3 linked regions of the Bombyx mori genome follow. The protein of the gene in region 1 interacts with the protein of each later gene in a pairwise test. Links are inferred from orthologs where the notes say so. Each region holds a gene or a part of one and is shown in the gene's direction. Other genes may lie near its edges. The genes, in order: DNA repair and recombination protein RAD54-like, Rad51 and tef2.

Region 1 (7,406 bases):
TAGCGCCGGCAACACCTACAGGACGAGCAGTGTTGCCATGATGTTAATTTTTTACTTTTTTTTTTGTTTGAACTTTTTGTACTTTTCTTTAGAAGATTTAAAATCTTTTGATACAGTGTTCTCAGTGAGTCTTTCATGCTGCATGATGTATAATGTTTTTTTACTTTGTTTTTGATTCGTTAAAAACGACTTTTTCTTTTTCTCACAAACTATAAGTAATCCGTTTGTGCTACCATAAAACTAGACATCTTCTAAATCGATTCATGATAATGTCACATTTGTTCACAATCATTCTAAATTTATGGTAAATTTATATCGGAAACTTACTATAATATTCTACAAAGAGGATTACTTTTATAAGTTTATTAAAACATCTGATTAAAAGTGAAAAAAAAATATTCAGAAGAAAGTTATTTGCTATCTCTTTTTTTGTACCTACAGATCTTCCATCTTGATAGCAAAGATCCATCAAATCCTCTGTCATTATTTCGTCATTGCGTGTGTAGGTAGCAGTATAGTCACAGGCAAAAGTACTTGTTTTGAACTTATAACAGTCTCTTTTAGATGAACAATACATTTGTCGTGTAGTTTTTTGTCATTTCCTTGGAGATTTGTCTTTAAACTATTATTTATTAATGAGTAACTTTAAAAAATATGTCCTAAAAGTGTTTGTGGAAATATCTGAATGCGTTGGTATCGATTATAATGTCAATAATTGAAATTTTGTCTATGGGCTTGTAATGTCGAGAATTATACGAATTTGACATTCTTTATAAATTTTCATCATATTTATGAGGCTGCACAGTTCTTCCGAGAATCATCAACCGCTCATTGGCAGGCTTTGCCGTAATAGTGCAAACTCAGAATCTTGACCGGGACGTTTGTATTGCAAGATTATCTATGAAATCGTTGGCGCGATTTAGGCCTTTGAAGGATTTCTTACATTCTACTGTACAGGTAACCCCTTCTGTAACACGGTACTTCTAAAAAACGATTACAAAATCTATGTTTAAAATTATTTAAAAAATTACATTGTCCACTATGAGCACACAATATATCGGAATAAAATTTTACTGCCAATTTTTTTATGTATGATAGGTAAAAAAATTACATACATATAACACGGTTTCACATAACACAGGAATTTGTAGGAACGTATTTACTGGAGGGTTAGAGAGGTTACCTGTATCTACTTAGTGCAAATAATGCTATACTTACTATAAATATATATTTTTTAATTAGCCTAAATTCAATTGCCGAGTTGTTTGAAAAATAGTGCCTACATTGAAAATGTCCTGTGACTTACTGAAAATGTTACCAGCCATATATGTGCTTAATTTATATATTACTGTTGAAAACAATTTTGATCCTAAACTTTAAGAATTGTCTGTGATGCATATAATTACAGGTATGACTCAAGTGTTTTTTTTAATAAAGTATTTTCTCATAAAATGTTTACTTTTATTGCAATGCAACTAATAATAAATAATTAAGAAATCGAAAAGTGTTGTATAATTTATATACAGAAAAGGTACATAGATAGACAATACAATTAATATTAAAGTTAAGGGTCAATTCCCACTGAAAGAGCAGCGGCCGGCAGCGTCTTTTTGAGGCAAAATATTACAAACTATTTTGAATCTTATCTACGTGATTAAAAGTTCATTTGAAGGCAAAGGAGGGGTAGCGTGGCGTCGCGAGGCTGCACGAGCTTTCTACCGACTAGTCAAAAGAGGCGCCGCGCGGCTGATCGCGGCGCAGCTAGCTGACGTGCGGCCGACCGAGGTGCAGCTGACAGACTCGCGGCTGCGCGCGAGCGACCATTTCATACCCGCTCGCCCTGCCGCTTGCGCATTTCGCGTTATTTTATTAGAGGGTATCTTGTTCTTCTTCTACAGCCAGTGCTATGATACATAAATCCAAATCCACCATATTTATTGCCACACAACTTTCCTTGAGTGAAGTAGATCGCACACTAGTTTTCAAAGCTACCACGCAGAGGCTCATTGCGGCGCCTCGGGATGCCGCGCTGCCTCTCGCGGCGCCGCACTGCCCCGCGCGGCGCCACACTGCCCCTTGCGGCGCCGCGCTCAGTCACTTGCTCTTACGGCCGCTGCGCGCCGCTGCTCTTTCAGTGGGAATTGACCCTTAGAAAGGGTAATATTCAAACTAATTGATATTAGTGGCTTCTACCATCGTGTAGCGTCTTGTTAAAAATTGGCGATGGACCTCTACGAAACCTACAACATTTTGTTTTCTATATGTGTAGTTTAAGTTTCTTCTTAATGGTGCTCATATAATAATCCTTCGCAAAGCGGTCATGGTCGCAGCTCCATTATAAATATGTCAATGTTAAGGACAAGATCGCTTCCATCGATGCATCTATATTTGAAGTTGCTGTCACGCTGCAACTTTTGGATGAAGGTGAGAACTAAAACTCCTTGGGCCCGCAGTCTGCTTCCAACATCTGCAGATCGTCAAGTCCCACATACCCCGCGCGCCCCCTAGCCACGGGGACCTCATAGAAGGTCCGGCCACCGCACCGGCCCGAAAAAAAAAGAAAAGGCATAACAGGATTTTCAGGAATAGGCTCGTGTATACAAATATATTTTAGTAACATTAAACTTATAAGTAGTAATTAATCAGGTACCTTGAAAAACACGTTGTCCAAAATGAAACTAACGTCAATTTAATTTATTATCTGCTACGAGTTTGACAGTTTCAGTTGGAAATGTCAATGTTAATAAAAATTATTAAAAATTCAAAAAGCAAACAAGTCCGATCTTGTTTGCGTTAAATAATGAAGGAATATCGTTCTTACTAAAGTGAAAACATCAATAGGAGATTACATTAAATAGCGCAAATTGCTGAGTTCGAAAACATTGAGTAAAGTTCCCAAATATGTGCAGTAACGTGTAAAATAAGATGCGCCGCAGTCGAGCGCCAAGCCAAATAGGCTCTGGAGAGAGTGTTTTCAAGAGTCCATTACTAGACTCCGCCAAGCGAAAGAAACGAGAATGCACAAGAATACCGCTAGCACAGAAAACTCCTTCTCAAACTTTACCTTCTTCAGATCACGAAAACATTATCCGTCAAATACTTAGTAAGCCCTTTAAAGTTCCTATATCAAACTATGTCTCCTCGTATTGCAGTAAAAGCTTAGGATTAAAACGAACGCAACTTAGAAGGGCCCTCCACGACCCAGACGAACCCAATTCACTGGTCCTCGAACGCCCTCCAACCATTCCGGAACACGAAAGAATGAAAATGAATCCTAATGACATAAAAGTTGCTGTTGTAGTTGATCCAGTACTTGGAAACATACTGAGGCCGCACCAGAGAGAAGGAGTAAAGTTCATGTATGACTGCGTTACTGGGAAACAAATAGAAAATGCATATGGATGTATAATGGCTGATGAAATGGGTTTAGGTAAAACCTTGCAGTGCATAACTTTACTGTGGACCTTACTGCGTCAAGGGCCAGACTGTAAACCAACAATATGTAAAGCCATAATAGTATGTCCCAGCAGTTTAGTAAAAAATTGGTACAATGAAATACATAAGTGGCTGTCGCAAAGGATAAATGCTTTAGCTATGGATGGGGGTTCAAAAGCTGAAGTAACTTTGAAACTACAGCAATTTATGAACACATATTCTGCGACTCGAGTTGCCACACCAGTCTTAATCATATCATATGAAACTTTCAGGATATACTCAAATATATTGCACTCTTCTGAAGTAGGTTTAGTCCTGTGTGATGAAGGGCATAGGTTGAAGAACAGCGAAAATCAGACATACCAAGCATTAATGGGTTTGAAGGCTAAAAGGAGAATATTAATCTCAGGTACACCAATCCAGAATGATTTAACTGAATATTTTAGTTTAGTACATTTTGTTAATGAAGGAATATTAGGGACTGCGCATGAGTTCAAAAAGAGATATGAAAATCCTATTTTGAAGGGACAAGATGCAATGGCAAGTCAACCTGAGAGAGAAAAAGCCCAGGAGTGCCTGCAAACATTAACTTCAATTGTGAACAAGTGCATGATCCGAAGAACTAGTGGTCTATTAACTAAATATTTGCCAGTTAAATTTGAGCAAGTTATTTGTGTAAAAATGACTCCACTACAGACTCAAATTTACAAGAATTTCATAAATTCTGATGCAATTCGTAACAAGTTTACAGGCACTGGAGAAAAAAGCAATACGCTAAGTGCTTTGTCCAGCATTACATCTTTGAAGAAGCTCTGTAACCACCCAGACTTGATCTATGAAAAGATTATAGAAAGAACAGAAGGTTTCGAAAAAGCAAAAGACTATCTCCCAAGTAACTATGATATAAAAGATGTAAGACCAGAATATTCAGGCAAGTTAATGATCTTAGACTGCATACTGGCAAATCTTAAAATGAATACAGATGATAAAATTGTGCTCGTATCAAATTATACTCAGACATTAGATTTATTTGAGAAATTATGTCGAAAACGTACATATCAATATGTAAGATTGGATGGTTCAATGACAATAAAAAAGAGAGCCAAGGTGGTGGAAAACTTTAACAATAAAGACTCCAAAGAGTGGATTTTCATGCTAAGTTCCAAAGCTGGTGGTTGTGGCTTGAATCTCATTGGAGCCAACAGGCTAATCATGTTTGACCCTGATTGGAATCCTGCAAATGATGAGCAGGCGATGGCACGGGTATGGCGCGATGGGCAAAAAAAACCATGCTATATTTACAGACTTTTGGCTACTGGAACCATTGAAGAAAAAATATTCCAAAGGCAAGCACACAAAAAAGCACTCAGCGAGACAGTGGTTGACCAAAATGAGGAGTCTCTAAGACATTTCACAGCAGATGATTTGAAAGACCTATTCCGTTTGGAGGAGAACACACTATCGGACACTCATAGTAAGTTTAAATGTAAAAGGTGTGTAAACAATATTCAAGTTACACTACCACCTGAAAATTCTGATTGCACATCTGATATTTCCAATTGGTACCACTGTGCAGACAAGAAAAACATAGCCGACATGGTCTTGAAGCAATGCTGGGACGTTGCAAAAAGTATATCCTTTGTTTTCCATCATCGGTCCGCAAAAACAGAGGCTAAGGAGATAACTATAGAAGATAAAGAAAATATACAAGTAAGTAAAAAAAGAAGAATCATGGATGATGAAGATTACTCTGAACCAGATGACAGTGCTGATGAAGATTATTCATGATTTTTTGTGGGTAATCATTGAAAAAATTAAGCCATTTAGTTTGTTGATTGTAAATATCTGTTTTATTTGTAAGTTAATTGTGGAGAAAATATATTTATTTGAAATTTTGAATGTTTTCATTATTGTGCTTCGTAAAGAAAGAATCAGTACACATTTTTCTCAGACATTTTGGTATAATATGTTTGGTGGCACAAAAAAAAAAATAAACTATTTCAATATGTGTTAACTTGTTAGGAAATTAATGTTTATTTCATACATTGCACTAGATCAATTGGAGGGACAGAGAGAGTATTTTTATTGTACACCAACAAAAGAAACATTGCGAAACATTAAATACAAAATAAAGTACTATAGACGGTCTTATCGCTAAGAGCGATCTCTTCCAGACTACCATCCAATCATCTATGGATAATTTAAATATACTATTATCGTGGATGTAATGTTAAATCGTAAATCCGCAGAAATAAAACTTTTTAAGTCTTTTTTGGAGGGAAAATCAATAAAATGTACACTGAATTGATAATTTGATATTATTTGACAAAAATTTCACACATCACGTAATCTATGTTGAGCAGCTGATCTTCAAAGCGTACGCCCATTGAGGTGGTTGGGCTGAGAAACCACGTAATTCAGCCTCTGGGTTAATGTCGTAGGGACGTCTTATAACTTCCAACAAGAACTGTACCTGAGATAGGTGAATAATTTAGAAAGATAACCCTTTGAGCGCAAACCGTCGAGAGATCGACTCTATTATTAAAGTGGTAGGACCTTTTGTGAGTCCGCACGGGTAGGTACCACAGCCCCGCCTATTTCTGCCGTGAAGCAGTAATGCGTTTCGGTTTGAAGGGTGGGGCAGCCGTTGTGACTATAGTGAAACCTTAGAACTTATATCTCAAGGTGTGTGGCGCATTTACGTTGTAGATGTCTATGGGTTCCAGTAACCACTTAACACCAGGTGGGCTGTGAGCTCGTCGACACATCTAGGCAATAATAAAAAAAAAAGGCCGATCCATGGAAGTAATTTTGCTATTATTTAATTATTATTTTCCTACCTGTCCTAATAGGTAACCTCGAGGGGTTATATTGTTAGTTTCGCTCGCTTGGTGTAGGTGAGCTCACAGAGTTCGGCCTGACGAATTTTTTAACACTAGCCCTAGCAAGAACAGTGCTTCACTGATACTACTACCGGATCGAAATTGCGACCCACTGCGAAGATTCGGCGTGAAACTTAGTGGGTTAAGTTGCACGACAAACCCTTCGTCGCGTTCGGTGCTTAGATAGTTAGGCTATACTTTTCCAAAGTCATCCTTTTCGGCGTCAACAATAGCTTCGTGCAGGATCCAATTGCGAGGAACGTAAATTGGATTGACGCTCAGCATGCGCCTCCGACGCTCATCCTCAAACATTCCAACTGAGCTCGCGTCAACTGCACAACCATTTTACGTTTACCCTCATTATTATAAAATAATATTAAGCCATTGCATAGCGTTTATCGCGGGCTTTGAGCGCGGCGACGGAATCAAGAAATTCCGTAACGAAAATAAAACCTAACACCCCCACTCCGCCTACCATGTAGCTCGCGTTCAACACGTTCACACGTTGCGCTTGTGTAGTGTTTGTGAATAAGCGCGTATTATAAGTTACTTCAGTTACTTAAATCGTGACGAAATAAATTGAATACAGTATTCACAAAAACAGTAGGTATAGGTTTTTTTCCATTAGTTCGAATGCCTAGGGTGACTGGATCACGTTTGGTTACCCAAGCTCATAGACATCTCTAAGTCAATGTCGGCTTGAGACATGGTGGAGGCTTAAAATTACTATGCGACCCCTTAATTCGGTTGACATGAATGCTTCGCAGCAGAATGTTTACATGGTTGCACCACCGGTGTAGGCTTGAACTATACTGTGGCAGTGGCAGAAAGCAGGGACGAGATACTAATATATGAAGATAAATAGAATACTGCCAATACATATTAGCAGTTAAACTAGATAGGCAGCAGCTTAGCTCTGTCCCTGACATTACTGATGTCCATGGGCGACGGTAAGTATTTACCATCAGGTGGGCCGTATGCTCGTCTGCCTATAAGAACAATTAAGGAAATTACAGATGTCCCATGAAATTACTGAAACCGTTGTTAGGACCCTCCGACTTTGAGCTCCGATTTTAAAACCCACCAGCT
Region 2 (7,440 bases), on another chromosome or scaffold:
AATTTTGCCTTTATTGTAATGTATATTGTAAAAAAAATATATTAACGTATTCACTTATTCAATAATATAGTGTTTATAATAAAATTAAACTAATAAAAGAGTGTTTTTTTTTCTTTTTATTAATATTGCGACAAATATCTTTTATGGTATCGAGAGATTGCAGTTCTTGTTGGAGGTATGTTGATGACTAAGGTACATGAGCCGGCAACATCGTTCACTTTGATTTTTGAATTTGAAACTGACCAAAGAACGTTGGGCATTTCATCATCAGTTTTCCCTTTGTACTCTTCAACTGCTAACGTATCTGACTGACCACACATTGGCCTGGTGAAAAAGAGCAATTTTGAACCTGGAAACACACTAAAGATTTATTTACAAATCTTTCACAACCTAAAATACTTTTTTTATTTACGTGAATTTTACCTAAATGGCAAATGGCAGCTGGCGGATTCGTAAAGTAAGTGATCAACTGCAATTTCGTATCTATGCCAGGTCGAAATCTATAGAGATGGCTAAAATAATTTTGTGTGCAATAAATGTAATTATTGAATGACGTCATACAATTTGGTCTAATATCTGTTAGTATGACTGTGGACCATCTATCAGTTTGCCCTAAGTCCTCATATTGGTAAATATTCTTCTGACCTGATACATAAATAGAATTATTGTGTACGCACACAGCTGGATTTTGTATTGTATCTGGTAATTTGGCAATCTTCCTGTGTGTTCTTTGTTTTAAATCATATATGACAGCCGTATCAAGTACAACTCTAAAATGAGAAAAGCAAAATTTATTATTGTAAAGTGATTTTATCAAAATTTCAAGGAACAAAACAATTTATAAAATATTACCTTTAGTAACTATTATTTCACAACAAAATAGGCACATAACTGCGAATTGTCTTGATGCTCAGAGAATACAGAGTTAAAATAAATAAAAGAAACCAACCTAAAACCACCTACACCTCCAATAATGAACAATGAGTCTCCCATAATAGCAACTCCACCATGTCTTCTCGATGGTAATTCAACACCGTGCAAGATCCACTCCTTACGGAAAGTGTCATATACTTTAACATCTTTCATGAATACACTCGTACCTCTACCATGTTCTCCACAAACCAGAACAAGTTTGTTGGCACCCCATGCTACCACATTCCAACCCCATAAGTTTTTCTCTGCAACTTCCAACCATTTTTCAAGGCCTGTATCTTCACTAAATGTATACATATTATGCGATATCAATTCAGGTTTTGTATCTTTGACTATCCAGACTGGTACTGTGGGTGTGAATATCAGCTTACGATTAACACTTGCACTTACTAACTTAAAAACTTCAATATATACCCTGGCAGTGAACTTTTCGCATAGTTCATCTTTCCTTTCAGTCAAAGTTATTATAGACAATTCACTGTGTTCAGTAATCTCTAAAATACAATCAACTACTTTAAGAGGCAAACTATCAACAAAATCCTTTATAAGGATTTTTATTTCTTTGATATCATTATGACTCAGTCTTTGTATATCTAAACATCCTAAAACTATCAATATAGCATCGGCCCCTGTTTCTGAATTTATAATCCATTCGTAACCAAATCTAAAAACCTCTAATTCATTATCAGTATCTAAATATGGATGTGATAAATACCAAAATAGTCTATGAATATTTAAAATGTACTCTTTTTTCATTTGTTTAAAATTAAGTAATCCAAATGCAGCACTCAGTTGCTCTAATTTAGTATAAGAAGAGTTTTCTGCTATAATCATTGTCTCCATCCAGTTTGAGACAGAAAGATGGAGATCTAAACAGTATTCAATCTGCTTAATTAATTCTGTTATTTGAAGAAAGTTCGCTGCGATTGACAATTCTCCAATAGTTGTCAGTGAGTATTCAGAGAGATCTATCAAACCTATTCTCATGTATTGAAGTATCATGTTCATTGAGTATGCATCAACCATCTGGAAGTGGATATAGAAAGAGTAATTTTTTTAATATTCAGTAATTTACAGTTCTTCTTGTTTACAGTCCTTTTTTATTTTTAAGTTACACTATCATATTGTAGGTAGATATTTATTCCCACAGATGTCCTCAAATGGACATAGGCCTCTCCCAAACCACAATGATCGGCCTGCACTGCTTGCGTCCAGCAGATCCCGCATACCTCAATAGGTGGTCTGTCCAACGTGTGGGAGGCGAGGGAGCTAGTGTGGGTAGCCACACTACGTCTACGGTACGTTCTATACATAGAATATTATAAATAGAATAGTTAGCTGTCAACAGCCTACCCTCACCAAACGTTCCACAATGAGGTATGATTGAGGTACCATTAACATCAAGGAATCGCAAAATTATCAATTTACTACCCACTACTACTAGATAATTATGATTAAAAATTAAACATTTTGCGATTATTCATAGAGTTAAATCCATAATTATTGTTTTAATTGTTTGTCATTTTATACATTAATTTAATTTAGCTAACATAATTTATAATTTTCCTTACATCAATTTTTATTTCCTGTCGTTCGTTTTCAATATAGTTTCCACTGAACATTGCGCGAAAATAGTCGCTGTACTCGCACAAAACATTTTTGTTCGCCGTGAATCTCTGATTTTCTATTAAAAGTGTTACTTCTTGAGTGTCCTCCATCTCCTTATTAAAATCCAATAATCATATGTTATAAATGTTCAATAGAGTTAAATCAATTTTATCAAAAAGCTAACCCGCAAAAATTTAAATAAATTCGTTGGCAGTGGGGTACGGTATTCTGTATGTTTATGTTTACCTCATGGAGTTAATAAGTACCTAGTTTACCTACATTCGTGTTTCTATGTTTACGACAACGCAGGGAGCAATTGTCACTTGTCAGTTGCACCCATAGACCAGTGGTTGCACCTAACAGCTGATTTTGAGTAATAGGTTCCATTTTTCAAACTGGAAAGGCGAAGGTATGAAAAGGAGATGAAGTTGATTAATTTAAGACATTAATAAATTAGAATGAAATTAAATGAAACAAGATAATATGGGATGAAATATAGTCTCAACAAAATGGCGGTTATTTAGGTAGTTCCGTTTCACTTTTTGGAAGATACCGAGAAGTTACGTCCAGTAGATTTGTTTCCTTTTCCCACATTTGTGCACTTTCACCGATACTAAATAGTTAATAAACCACCATTATTAAACATTAATTAGAAAACTACCATTAAGTAAAGGTTAATTACAGAGCATAATGTGACTCAGTGACGCACAATGCCGAATTATGCTGAAGCTTAGTTGAGCATTATGCCGCATAATGCGCTCTTGTGCTGTAATTGGAAAACGGCCAGCATGTGTACATCTATGATTGATCTTGACATTTAAGCGGATGTGACTTTTTGGCGGGAACGCGAGGAGTAAAGTTGGGTGATTTGTTTCATTTTGTCTATTTAGTGTTTCTTCAGGTTTAAATGTGTAATAGCAGTGGTTTATTAACTGTTTCATATCTGTAAAAGTGCACAAATGTGGGAAAGTGAAACAAAGCCGCTGGACGTAACTTCTCCGGGTCCTCCAAAAAGTCCACTGAAAAAATCTCAGTAAATGACCACCATTTTTCTGAGATTATATTTCATCCCATATTCATCCCATCATATATTTCATCCCATTTCATCTCATTTAATTTCATCTCAATTGATTAATGTCACAAATTAATCATCTTCATTTCATTTTATTTCACTCCATATGAGGCCTATAAAATCAAAGGCAGCTAAACGCCTCAATGTCGCAAAATGGATTAACAATGGCGCTATCTTGTTTAGTTAGTTGGACACGCTTTAGTGTTTTCATGTTATAACAAATGCAGCTAAATCTCTAACAAATTCAGATCAAAAAATTTATTTTTACTCTGTACTAAGAACTAATAAACGAAGTTTTATCATTTAAAATTCAGATTATTAGTAATATTCTCAGTCTTTATGTGCTTAAAATGTGCTTTAAATTAAAGAATATCGTAGCTATCCGAACAAAGCTATTTCAGCTTCTCAAACCGGGAGTGTTGCTAACACTGGCCTTACCAAGAGCAGTACTTCGATGGATCGGGAGGATCCGTAATGACGTGTTTAGGGCTGATTTTTGCAGTTTACCTGAATATTTGACAGACTTGGATTTAGCTGCCTTTGATTTTATAGGCCTCATATTATCATTTTTCATAAAAATAAGAATATAAACTAAATTAAGACATGACTTAAAGGTTTTAGTTACCAGGTCATAAAATCTCTTAAAAAAATAAGCGGATGTCTTCAGACTTCAGTGTCGACTTTAAAAATAAAAATAGTGATTGAAATTTTAACGCGTATGTTACTTACAAGTTTGCTCTAACAAACAATAAAAAAAAAATTAGTTAAAATTATTTTATAATCCAAATCGTGTACTCCAAAGACACCTAACCTTGTAAAGTTATTTATAAGCAACTGAAGTTTGAATATTTTTAAATGAGCCGGTAATTGTTTGAAAGCCACGGACAATAATGAATACCACTGCTTCAGCAACTACGACTTCTTTGGATGAAGATGCTGACGAATGCGGGCCACAGCTGATCAGTAAATTAGAGGTGACGTCATGTGACAAGCTATAACTTGCTTACAAATATTACTGGATTGAACTGACTTATTGGATACAATGCGCAACTTATACTGTAGATAAATTCTAATTTATTCCATTCTCTTAACTATATTTCTTTTTAATGTGTATATGAAATAAATAAATAAACATATTGGATGATAATAAAGTGCTCCTAAGAATCCTATCTATTTATGCTTAAGTAAATCTACATATCCTGCCTTGGAGAGTAAGATATCTACATTCCAAATAAAAGATCTCTCAAGAAAAGAAAAAACAAGGGTAAAAGAGGGTCAAGTTTATCTGCTCTAAGAATTTTCAAATAGATCTCCAGAAGACACAAAAACGTTCTGTAAGAACAACATGAGTCTATGCTCATATTAAGTCAAATTCTCAGTTGTATTGCATTTGATGCTACTTAATCGTTCAACCTTACTTCATTGCAACATTGTGTACATCATATATATATCTAAATTTGGATTGTGATAATTTGTTTGTTAAATAATAAAAATATGGAATAATTTATTTTAGGGCAATGGCATCACATCAGGAGATATAAAAAAGCTTGAGGAAGCGGGATATCATACTGTTGAATCTGTTGCCTATGCTCCAAAAAAATGGCTAATCACAATTAAAGGGATATCTGAAGCGAAGGCAGATAAAATATTAGCTGAAGCATCTAAATTGGTGCCAATGGGATTTACAACAGCTACTGAGTTTCATCAAAAGAGGTAGGTACCTTTAAAATTATTTATTTATATTTTTTATTATTAATTAATGAAACGCCAATATGGCTAAGGTTAGTACAAAGTTGTGGAAAACATTTAACACATGCAAAGTATGTAAAAAAGCAAAAAAATTAGTACCTTCCTGCAGGATTTGTACCCCGTCTTTGTTACATAAATTGTTATGTCTATGTATCTACCTTAGGCTATAATGACACAATTATTGGACCTGACATAAGGGACACAGCTCAAATCCCAGTATCGAACTAGTAATGTATAGTCATATTCTTGACACAGAAAATAACTGCAGCTAATACTTGTATTAGATTTTTTTAATTAAACCAAATCTACATTGAGTATTGTTTGAATTCTTCCAGGGCTGAAATAATACAACTTACTACTGGTTCAAAGGAATTAGATAGATTACTGGGAGGTGGTATAGAAACTGGTTCTATAACTGAAATATTTGGTGAATTCCGTACTGGCAAAACCCAATTATGTCACACATTAGCAGTCACCTGCCAGGTACAATTGAATTAAACCAATTTGCAATAAAAGTATATAATAATAAATATTAATAATGTATACTATAATGATATGTGATAATGTGTAATATTGCATAAAAGACGATATGTGTAAGTGACTTCATATAAGAGCGGAAGTGAGCGAAGAAATGGTTTATGATAGAGGTATGGTAGGAGAAAACATATTGCGCCAATCCCAGGTTACTGGGAGTAGGGCAGGAGAATGATGTTGATGATGAATGTATAATATAGGTAACGTAACGGCCGTCTGGTGTAGTGGTAAGTGACATGGTCACTACACAAGGGGGTACCTCTAACACAAGTTCTTTACGAACTTATCACGGGACTAGTTAACGTGGTGTGATTGTTAGTAAATAAAAAAAAATAATACTAATAATAAAAATAAAAAAAAAAATAATAGTCATAAATGTTCATTTAAAATATTAGAACTGTAAGGTCATATTTTGATGTAAAAAATGTTTAGAGGTTAACAACAAAGGGAAGATCTTCCACCCAGCAGGTGTAATTTCTCAGTGGCAGCCAAAAAAAATTGAGAAAAAATTGTTCAATGAACAATGTCGCTTCTATGTAATATTGTAAAATGTAAAATATCTAATAATTTCATTATTTTTTTAAATAGAAATCCCATATTGGTAATTTTAAATTACTGAAAACCAATTGCCTTGGCCTTATTAAATTTTCCCAGCTACCCATTGAACAATCTGGTGGAGAGGGTAAATGCATGTACATCGATACAGAAGGAACATTCAGACCGGAAAGACTGCTGGCCGTTGCACAGCGATACGGTATGGAAGGTGCGGCAGTCTTGGACAATGTTGCATATGCAAGAGCTTATAACACAGACCATCAGACCCAATTGCTAGTGCAAGCTTGCGCCATGATGGCAGAGTCAAGGTAAATTATTTTATAATAGATCTATTTAATTGTTTTTCTGAATTTGTTATAAATTTTTTATTGTTTTTACTTGTGAATTATTTTTATACTATATATATATTAAATAATTTGATTTTCAATTAATTTATTTATTACGCATTAAAAATTTATCTTACGTGCATACAATTTTCAGATATTCCTTAATTATAGTTGATAGTGCAACCGCTCTATACAGGACAGACTATTCTGGACGAGGGGAACTGAATTCTAGACAACTACATCTGGGTCGTTTCATGAGAATGTTGCTCAGATTGGCTGATGAGGTAAGTAAATATTCCACGTAGTTTCCTATATTAATTATTTCAGAAAATACAACTGTAATTTAGTAAAGTGCTTACATAATTAAAATCGTATTGTGAACAATTTGGATTTTCTTTATAAATATTTCTATCTATTGAAACAGTTGAATAATGATTTCGAATTCAAATCACGGATGGTATTTATTTTCAAGTGAATTTTAATCCTATTATGTGATAAACGTAAAAGTTAGATTGTGTTATATTTTGAGAGGCAGTGTGTATATATTTCATGTACATGTATTTTGATGAGTTACCAATAAAGTTTCAAATCTGTCATTCCAGTTTGGAGTAGCAGTAATCATAACAAACCAAGTGGTCGCACAAGTGGATGCTGTAGGAGTTT
Region 3 (7,155 bases), on another chromosome or scaffold:
CAATAAAACCGAGTACTATCTACCATCTATATTTTTGGTCATTTATTTGAATCACACTTAGCAAGAGATTTTATATATATTTACTAGCTGACCCGGCAGACTTCGTAGTGCTTCAATCGATAAATAAAAGATCTACACTTTAGTATAAAATAAACTTAAAACAAACAAAAGGAATTTTGATATTTATCTACCTTTTAAACCTTCTCTGGACTTTTACAAATCATTCAAGACCAAAATTAGCCAAATTGATCTAGCCGTTCTCGAGTTTTAGCGAGACTAACGAACAGCAATTCATTTTTATATATATAGATTTATATGTAATAAAAGAAAGGTACTAATGTTTATGTTTAGAACTTATCTATTCGTGTATTAACACGAAACAATGGAGTGCTCACTAAAGCGAGTAGCGAATATCCACTCATTAGATTACCTAAAACGGGACTAATTTTATTGCAACAGGAAAAACATACAATTTGTACAAGCCCTATTCTTACATTTGCCACCCTTATCGATAGCAATCAAAATACTCCCCAACCCAACCCTCTAAATTTGCCCTCATTCTGAATTCCAGTGAAGACCAGACAGTAAAATTCAAATTAATAATAACGAAACACAATTAAATGCTTATGTTCATTGTAGTTTTTCATTAATTGTTAGCTATTTTTTTAATTATATTTGCAATAAAAAATTACATCGAAAAGTATAAAAATCATCTAGCATCTCAAATATTAAGTATGATCTAGTTACATGATTAAACTGAGTGTTTTTATTAAAATGTGATAATTTTGGAGTGTAGCGACATCTATCAACAACGAGTCAATGTTAGACATTCTACTAGACAATAGGTGGCGCTCATTTAGGCTTAATAAAAAAAATGGGTTAAATAAATTGTGAAGATGTAATCTATCTGAAAATTACACCAATAAGCCAATCAAGTCAAATTATTTTACATGATAATAGCATAGACCTTTGTAGACTGTCCCGGCTGATGGGGAGGTGTTTAAATTACTAAAAAGCAGTCAAACCCGACAGGCAAAGGGACATCCTTACAACCAAATCTTTTGTAATAAAAGTAGGGCGTGTGCTATGAAAAGTTTAATCGAAAATGAAATAAATAAGAAATAAACAAGAAAAATGAATATTTTTTTAAAAAATTGTGAAAATTTACTGAGAGTTTATTGAACTTTTTAGTCGAGTCATGGAAACCATATTCAACAATTTCGGTGCATTTTCGTAAATTATCTACTTTACCACATACAAAATAAATAATTAGTCATGATTCTTACACGTTTAAGACTGAAAAACAGTAGCAAAAATATGAACTTAATAAATAATGGGAACGCCAGAAAAAAAGTTGTACGAATTGTTATATTTTGTCAATTTTTTTTTACTAATTTTCTTTTTGCACAAGACTACAGAGGTGGACTAAAAGCTTAAGATCTTTTCTACCAGTCAACCAAAGTTGGTAAAGTATTTTGAAAGATGCATTGCTTTTACTGAAAAAACCTAATTCATAAAATATAGAACGCATAAATATACACAGCTCATACAGCACTATATATATACATCCATACATTCCACATATATTCAATATTTATTATATATTTATGACAAAAAAATTATACAAAGTAAGTCTACTTATTAGATATTCCTGCCAATTCATTTAGCAAAAGTTGCCGAACCCTTCATTGAGAGTTATATACGTGATCAGTGATCATCTTGACATTGAGAGGAAGTAAAATTCAAATTAGAGATGTACGTGGGACAGTCAAGTAATAGATTATTAGAAGAACGCAGAATATATTATGCGAAAAATGTAAATTTTTAAAGTACCGTACCTACCGTGCATGTTGTCAATATCGCTGACGTAAAGCGAGAAAATTTATTTTTAAGCGCTATGTAGAGATGTGGTCATCCTTGCGGAGATTTAAAATAAATCAAAAGCAGTTATTATGAAGGCGGTCGGGTTGTTAAAAAAGGTCTTTCATGTCAAAATAAGAAAGATCAAAACTTGATGACGATGACGATAATCTAATAACCATTTTACTGATATTTTATTTCACCTCATTTCCATCTAGTTTGATTGAATATAGTTTCAATACAATCAGCTTGAATTCAGAAGATCAATTTAGGCCACAAAACACCAAACAAATTGTTATTCAGCCAAATCTGTTACGCGTCATAGTATTCAAAAAGATTACTAACAGACAATCTTGAAAATCGACTAATGCTCAATAACTCGTGTTGACATCTCGGAGTAAGCGTCTGGCAGCATTATATGTTGTCTATGACTCTTTTTATTTGACGTCGACCTGCGACATCCGGCCCTCGCAAGGGTCCTTTTTCAAAGCGTACGCCATTGCTGGCGTATGGTAGTTGGTTTAATAGAACAAAAATCATAAACCATCTAAAATGGTGAGTAAGGAAATCAGTTTTAGTGACCAGTAAAGTATCCCGGTGAATGTTTTCATACGTTTCACGTGCATATTTTATTAATTTGACGGAATAGTTACTGTAAAAGTTCTGCTTTGTTCGGGTCAGGTCTTTGTGAATTGGATGACGTTTTCAAGTGATGTGGTGCTTAAAGTGTTCGTACCGAGACTTCAACAATCACTCATCTCAAATATAATTAAACATTAAACAACATAATAAAACTAAACCTTTACAATATCGTGAATCTAAGTGTTAAATGTCTAAAATCTAACATCTGTGTTGTGTCAGCATGATGAGCTATTATTTCGTATGTGCAGGTGAATTTCACGGTAGACGAGATCCGTGGGATGATGGACAAGAAGCGGAATATCCGCAACATGTCTGTGATCGCCCACGTCGATCACGGCAAGTCAACCCTCACGGACTCGTTGGTTTCCAAGGCCGGTATCATTGCTGGTGCGAGAGCCGGAGAGACCCGTTTCACTGACACGCGTAAGGACGAACAAGACCGTTGCATCACCATTAAATCTACGTAAGTAGCTTCAAAAATACATATTGCCACATGGTGCACCGAACGTCATTGCCCTTGAACTTTTATGAGGTTAAGTTAACGAAAAATCTCGTTATATACAAATTATTATTGCTTTAATGCAAAAGACCACATGAGTGTACCAGCTGCGTCGTTTTAAATAAATATAACGTGCCTTTATAGTAGCTGATGTGTCGAAAAAGATTTCTCAGAAATGGTTTTTATTATTTACGAAATTTGCAAAGGAATCCGAAAAGGTTAGACCACACTGTTAGGTTAAGTTTTAGTTATCATGAAATACACCACGATAGAATCAGGTCAGTCATTTTCTTACTTTGGGATTGCAAAAGTGATTAAATTTCATAAAATTTTAATAATGTGTAGTAATTAAGTAACATTTTACCAACTAATCATGTTTAAGGAAAAGACAAATAATAATACATTAGTAATGTTTTGTTCAACACTTGGATTTAATTTAATAGCAAGTTTACTAAAAATTCTCTGATCTAAATGATGAATGTTCTTTACCATTAAAAGACTGATATGAATATTGAAGATCTTTTAGAACGGCCATCTGATGAATCATAAAAACTAAATTTGGGAATATTAAAAAGTACCATGAGTTTAATATCACGAATTTATTACCAGGGCCATCTCTATGTTCTTCGAGCTTGAAGAGAAAGATTTAGTATTCATCACAAACCCTGACCAGCGTGAAAAGAGTGAGAAAGGTTTCTTGATCAACTTGATTGACTCACCTGGACACGTTGATTTCTCTTCTGAAGTAACAGCTGCACTCCGTGTCACTGATGGAGCCCTTGTGGTTGTTGACTGTGTGTCTGGTAAGTTGAATATTAATTTTTAATAAAAATATCTTATTTAATTCTTTCTCATTGATTTGTTAATGACCAGTAATAGAGGAGCCCTTTATGCTATTTCCATTAAGATTTGAATATGACTAAATATGAAATTACTTAAAGCTACCTTTCAAGGTAGGGTGAAATGCTTGAAAAATCTGATATAATATATATAGTTGGCAGAAACTCAGGAGCTCAGTTTACAATTAACAAAAATTATTCTACTCAAAAAGGGCATTGCACTCGTAAGCTGTAAAGCTCAAAAAGTTGCATCAAAATTTGTCTAGTCAGTTTTGCCGAGACTAACAAAAAAACTTAGCAATGTAAAAATATTATAATGAAATTTAATTTTGTGTTAACCAGGTGTGTGTGTACAAACTGAAACAGTACTGCGTCAGGCTATTGCCGAGCGCATCAAGCCTATTCTGTTCATGAACAAAATGGACCGTGCTCTTCTTGAGCTCCAACTTGAAGCTGAAGAACTATACCAGACGTTCCAGCGTATTGTAGAAAATGTTAACGTCATTATAGCCACATATAACGATGATGGTGGTCCCATGGGTGAGTATTTAAAATAATAACTTCCTATAAAATTATCTGCAATAATCACAAGATTCTGTACAGTTTCCTTGAGTTTGTTCTGGCATTTTTGGGAGTTTCTATAAATTTCAAATAACAAACGGTTGATGGTCACAGCTTTTGTTGGACAACATTGAATCTTTTGATATCATGTTTTGGACACGTGACAAGACGCGCGATAGACGCTAGCGTGTAGCCATCAAGGTCATACACGGACGCACCTGTTATCTCTACGATTTATATTTTGTAGCCATTAAACTTACATTTCACTTTTTCATTTTATTAGAATTATAGAAACAATGCATTTGTGCACAGAAGTAGGTTGTAAAAATTATATTTTATTTGTAATCCAAAATTATAAATTAATAAGTTGAAGTTTATAAATAATAACTAGAATTAAACTCAATAAAAAATATACTGACAGATGTGAATCCATAATAAATGGCATTCAAAGAAAGTTATGGACTTTAAAGGCAGTGTCTTATCAGGCTATTATATTGATGTTCCAAATGGTGGGTAATTTCAAAGCAAATACATACTTATAGCATGCACTATCAGATTCCACAATAAGAGGGATCATAAAGTAATAAAAATAAACCTGTGAAGTAATAAATTTTGCATAAATATGGATGATAGGATGTGTATTGTAAGCTTACATATGTGCATATTTAATGAATCGTCTTTGGGTTTGTAAACTTTTCCACCAGGGACTCCATTATATTAATGCTGTTGAAAATTTGACTTCATGTCTTGAAAGTTTTTCAATGACACACAAACGCATTCACAATTTGATGTCTTTGCCTGGTGGATTTAACACCAGATGGGTCCTATCAATGCATTAAAAAATATTTAAAAAGTTTTCTTCAACAATATTCTTGTTGCGTTTTAAAGACAGATCCCACCTAATTGTATCTCAAGTATACTCAAATTTGCAAACCAGGATAGCCAAGCCAAAATTCACAAAAGCTCTGCATCAAGAATGGGAATATAAAATTAAAATACATTTTGTCTAAATCAGGTGAGGTGCGTGTCGACCCTAGCAAGGGCTCTGTTGGTTTCGGGTCTGGTCTTCATGGGTGGGCTTTCACCCTCAAACAATTCTCTGAGATGTATGCTGACAAATTCAAGATTGACCTTGTCAAGCTTATGAACAGGTGAGGTTTTACTTAAGTAAAAATATCATTGTACTGACAATCATAAACTGGGTGTATGTAATACAACAAATGCCCGCTGAGTTTCTTGCCAATTCTTCTCAGGACAGAGGCTAGTTTTTGTGAATTGGCGGTAGTTCTTTTGACTTTCATCAAGTATGTACAGTCAAAATCTGTTATAACGACATCGAAGGTACTGCTCATATTCAGTCGTAAAAACCGATAGTCGTAACAACCGGTGATGTTTAATGTGTATCGTGCAAGTACAAACAAATCGATAGGGAATTATTGGAAAAATATATTTACATAATACGCGGTTTTTCTTCAATATTAATTTGTTTTCTTTTTCTTAGAGACATTTTGATAGTTTCAGGAATAACTCCACAAAGTTTTGTTGTGTCTTGTGTATAGATAAGTAACAAACTAACTGAAAAGATATGAAGAAGCGGGCTTTGATACCGCATGCACGTGTTTTGTTTCTAAGAATTAGAAAAGACCCTACACTAAACTAAATCCTATTGTTTTCTTTCTTGATTTTAAAAGCCATTGAAGACAAATGTGGATACTTATTCAAATTGTTTACAATACAGCTTAGCCGGTCGTTCTAACAGATCTAATTCTCCGAAATATTAGTTAAATGTGGTCGTTTTATGAGGTATGTCGTTATTACCAATGTCGTAGAAAGCAATATTTTTAATAAGGCGGTCATATGGCATTCAGCCGGGACCTTTGTTCTTGGTTATTATAACCGGTATGTTGTATTAAACGATGTCGCAGTAAACGGTTTTGACTGTACTTTCATTTATGTTGAATAATTTTTTTTTTATTTGATTTGATTTCATAATGATTCTGGAAGTCGAGATGGTAATTTGGATTTTTTTCTATTAATTGAATGCTAAGGGTCCTTAATCTGTTGTCACATAAATTAAATAACTGGAAATTGAAAAAATGGAGAAACTGTAATTGCTCTATAAAACTTGCAAGAAAGCAGCTAACACTGACGTAGTTGAAGGCGGATGACGTCATCATCCAAGCACAACTACTGCATTGCAATATTTATGTAATTTGGAAATGTTCAAATTCAAATTCAAATTCCACTTTTCAACTATTTCAAGTAAAGTTCACAAACTTCTGCACGCTGTTTTTTAAGTTATATTATTATGTAACAACAAAACATACAATTTAAATGTTTTGACAGAGACCTATCATTTTTTTAAAACAAATCATATGCTTTTAATCCAATTTATTACTAAAACAAACCGTAAATTCGAATCACAACGTCCACATATCTTTGCAATAAAAAAAAATGAAATAAAGAGCTGTAAATCTTTAAAATAACAATAAACGATCTTACAAGTATCAGCACCTGCTGCTTAGAACAGCAATATTTTCCAGACAATCTTCTGCAAAGAAGAACTTTCAAACCTAAAGGGCAGTTGAGTCCGCACGGGTAGGTACCACCGCCCCGCCTATTTCTGCCGTGAAGCAGTAATGCGTTTCGGTTTGAAGGGTGGGGCAGCCGTTGTGACTATACTGAGACCTTAGAACTATATCTCAAGGTGTGTGGCGCATTTACGTTGTAGATGTCTATGGGCTCCAGTAACCA

Evidence for each region.
Region 2: the proteins of DNA repair and recombination protein RAD54-like (region 1) and Rad51 interact in a two-hybrid assay, tested with the Caenorhabditis elegans proteins (3 studies listed by BioGRID). The link is inferred for Bombyx mori from reciprocal best matches to the Caenorhabditis elegans genes rad-54.L and rad-51.
Region 3: the proteins of DNA repair and recombination protein RAD54-like (region 1) and tef2 interact in a two-hybrid assay, tested with the Caenorhabditis elegans proteins (2 studies listed by BioGRID). The link is inferred for Bombyx mori from reciprocal best matches to the Caenorhabditis elegans genes rad-54.L and eef-2.

Annotation. Positions count from the first base shown.
Region 1 is NC_085122.1:1,511,480-1,518,885, reverse strand, and holds DNA repair and recombination protein RAD54-like, read left to right. Parts: upstream 1-2,692; 5' UTR 2,693-2,925; coding exon 2,926-5,223; 3' UTR 5,224-5,330; downstream 5,331-7,406. Other genes in the region: protein adenylyltransferase SelO, read right to left, coding at 5,786-5,908, 6,516-6,649, 7,402-7,406.
Region 2 is NC_085131.1:10,827,337-10,834,776, reverse strand, and holds the start of Rad51 (rad51 homolog), read left to right. Parts: upstream 1-3,378; 5' UTR 3,379-3,574; intron 3,575-4,227; 5' UTR 4,228-4,503; coding exon 4,504-4,587; intron 4,588-5,126; coding exon 5,127-5,326; intron 5,327-5,697; coding exon 5,698-5,845; intron 5,846-6,550; coding exon 6,551-6,759; intron 6,760-6,931; coding exon 6,932-7,061; intron 7,062-7,379; coding exon 7,380-7,440. Other genes in the region: kelch-like protein 26, read right to left, coding at 120-349, 424-770, 950-1,959, 2,505-2,654, 2,821-2,928.
Region 3 is NC_085125.1:13,069,043-13,076,197, reverse strand, and holds the start of tef2 (translation elongation factor 2), read left to right. Parts: upstream 1-2,315; 5' UTR 2,316-2,412; coding exon 2,413-2,415; intron 2,416-2,750; coding exon 2,751-2,965; intron 2,966-3,458; exon of another isoform or gene 3,459-3,568; intron 3,569-3,610; coding exon 3,611-3,804; intron 3,805-4,182; coding exon 4,183-4,380; intron 4,381-5,416; coding exon 5,417-5,552; intron 5,553-7,155. UniProt on the Caenorhabditis elegans protein: Catalyzes the GTP-dependent ribosomal translocation step during translation elongation.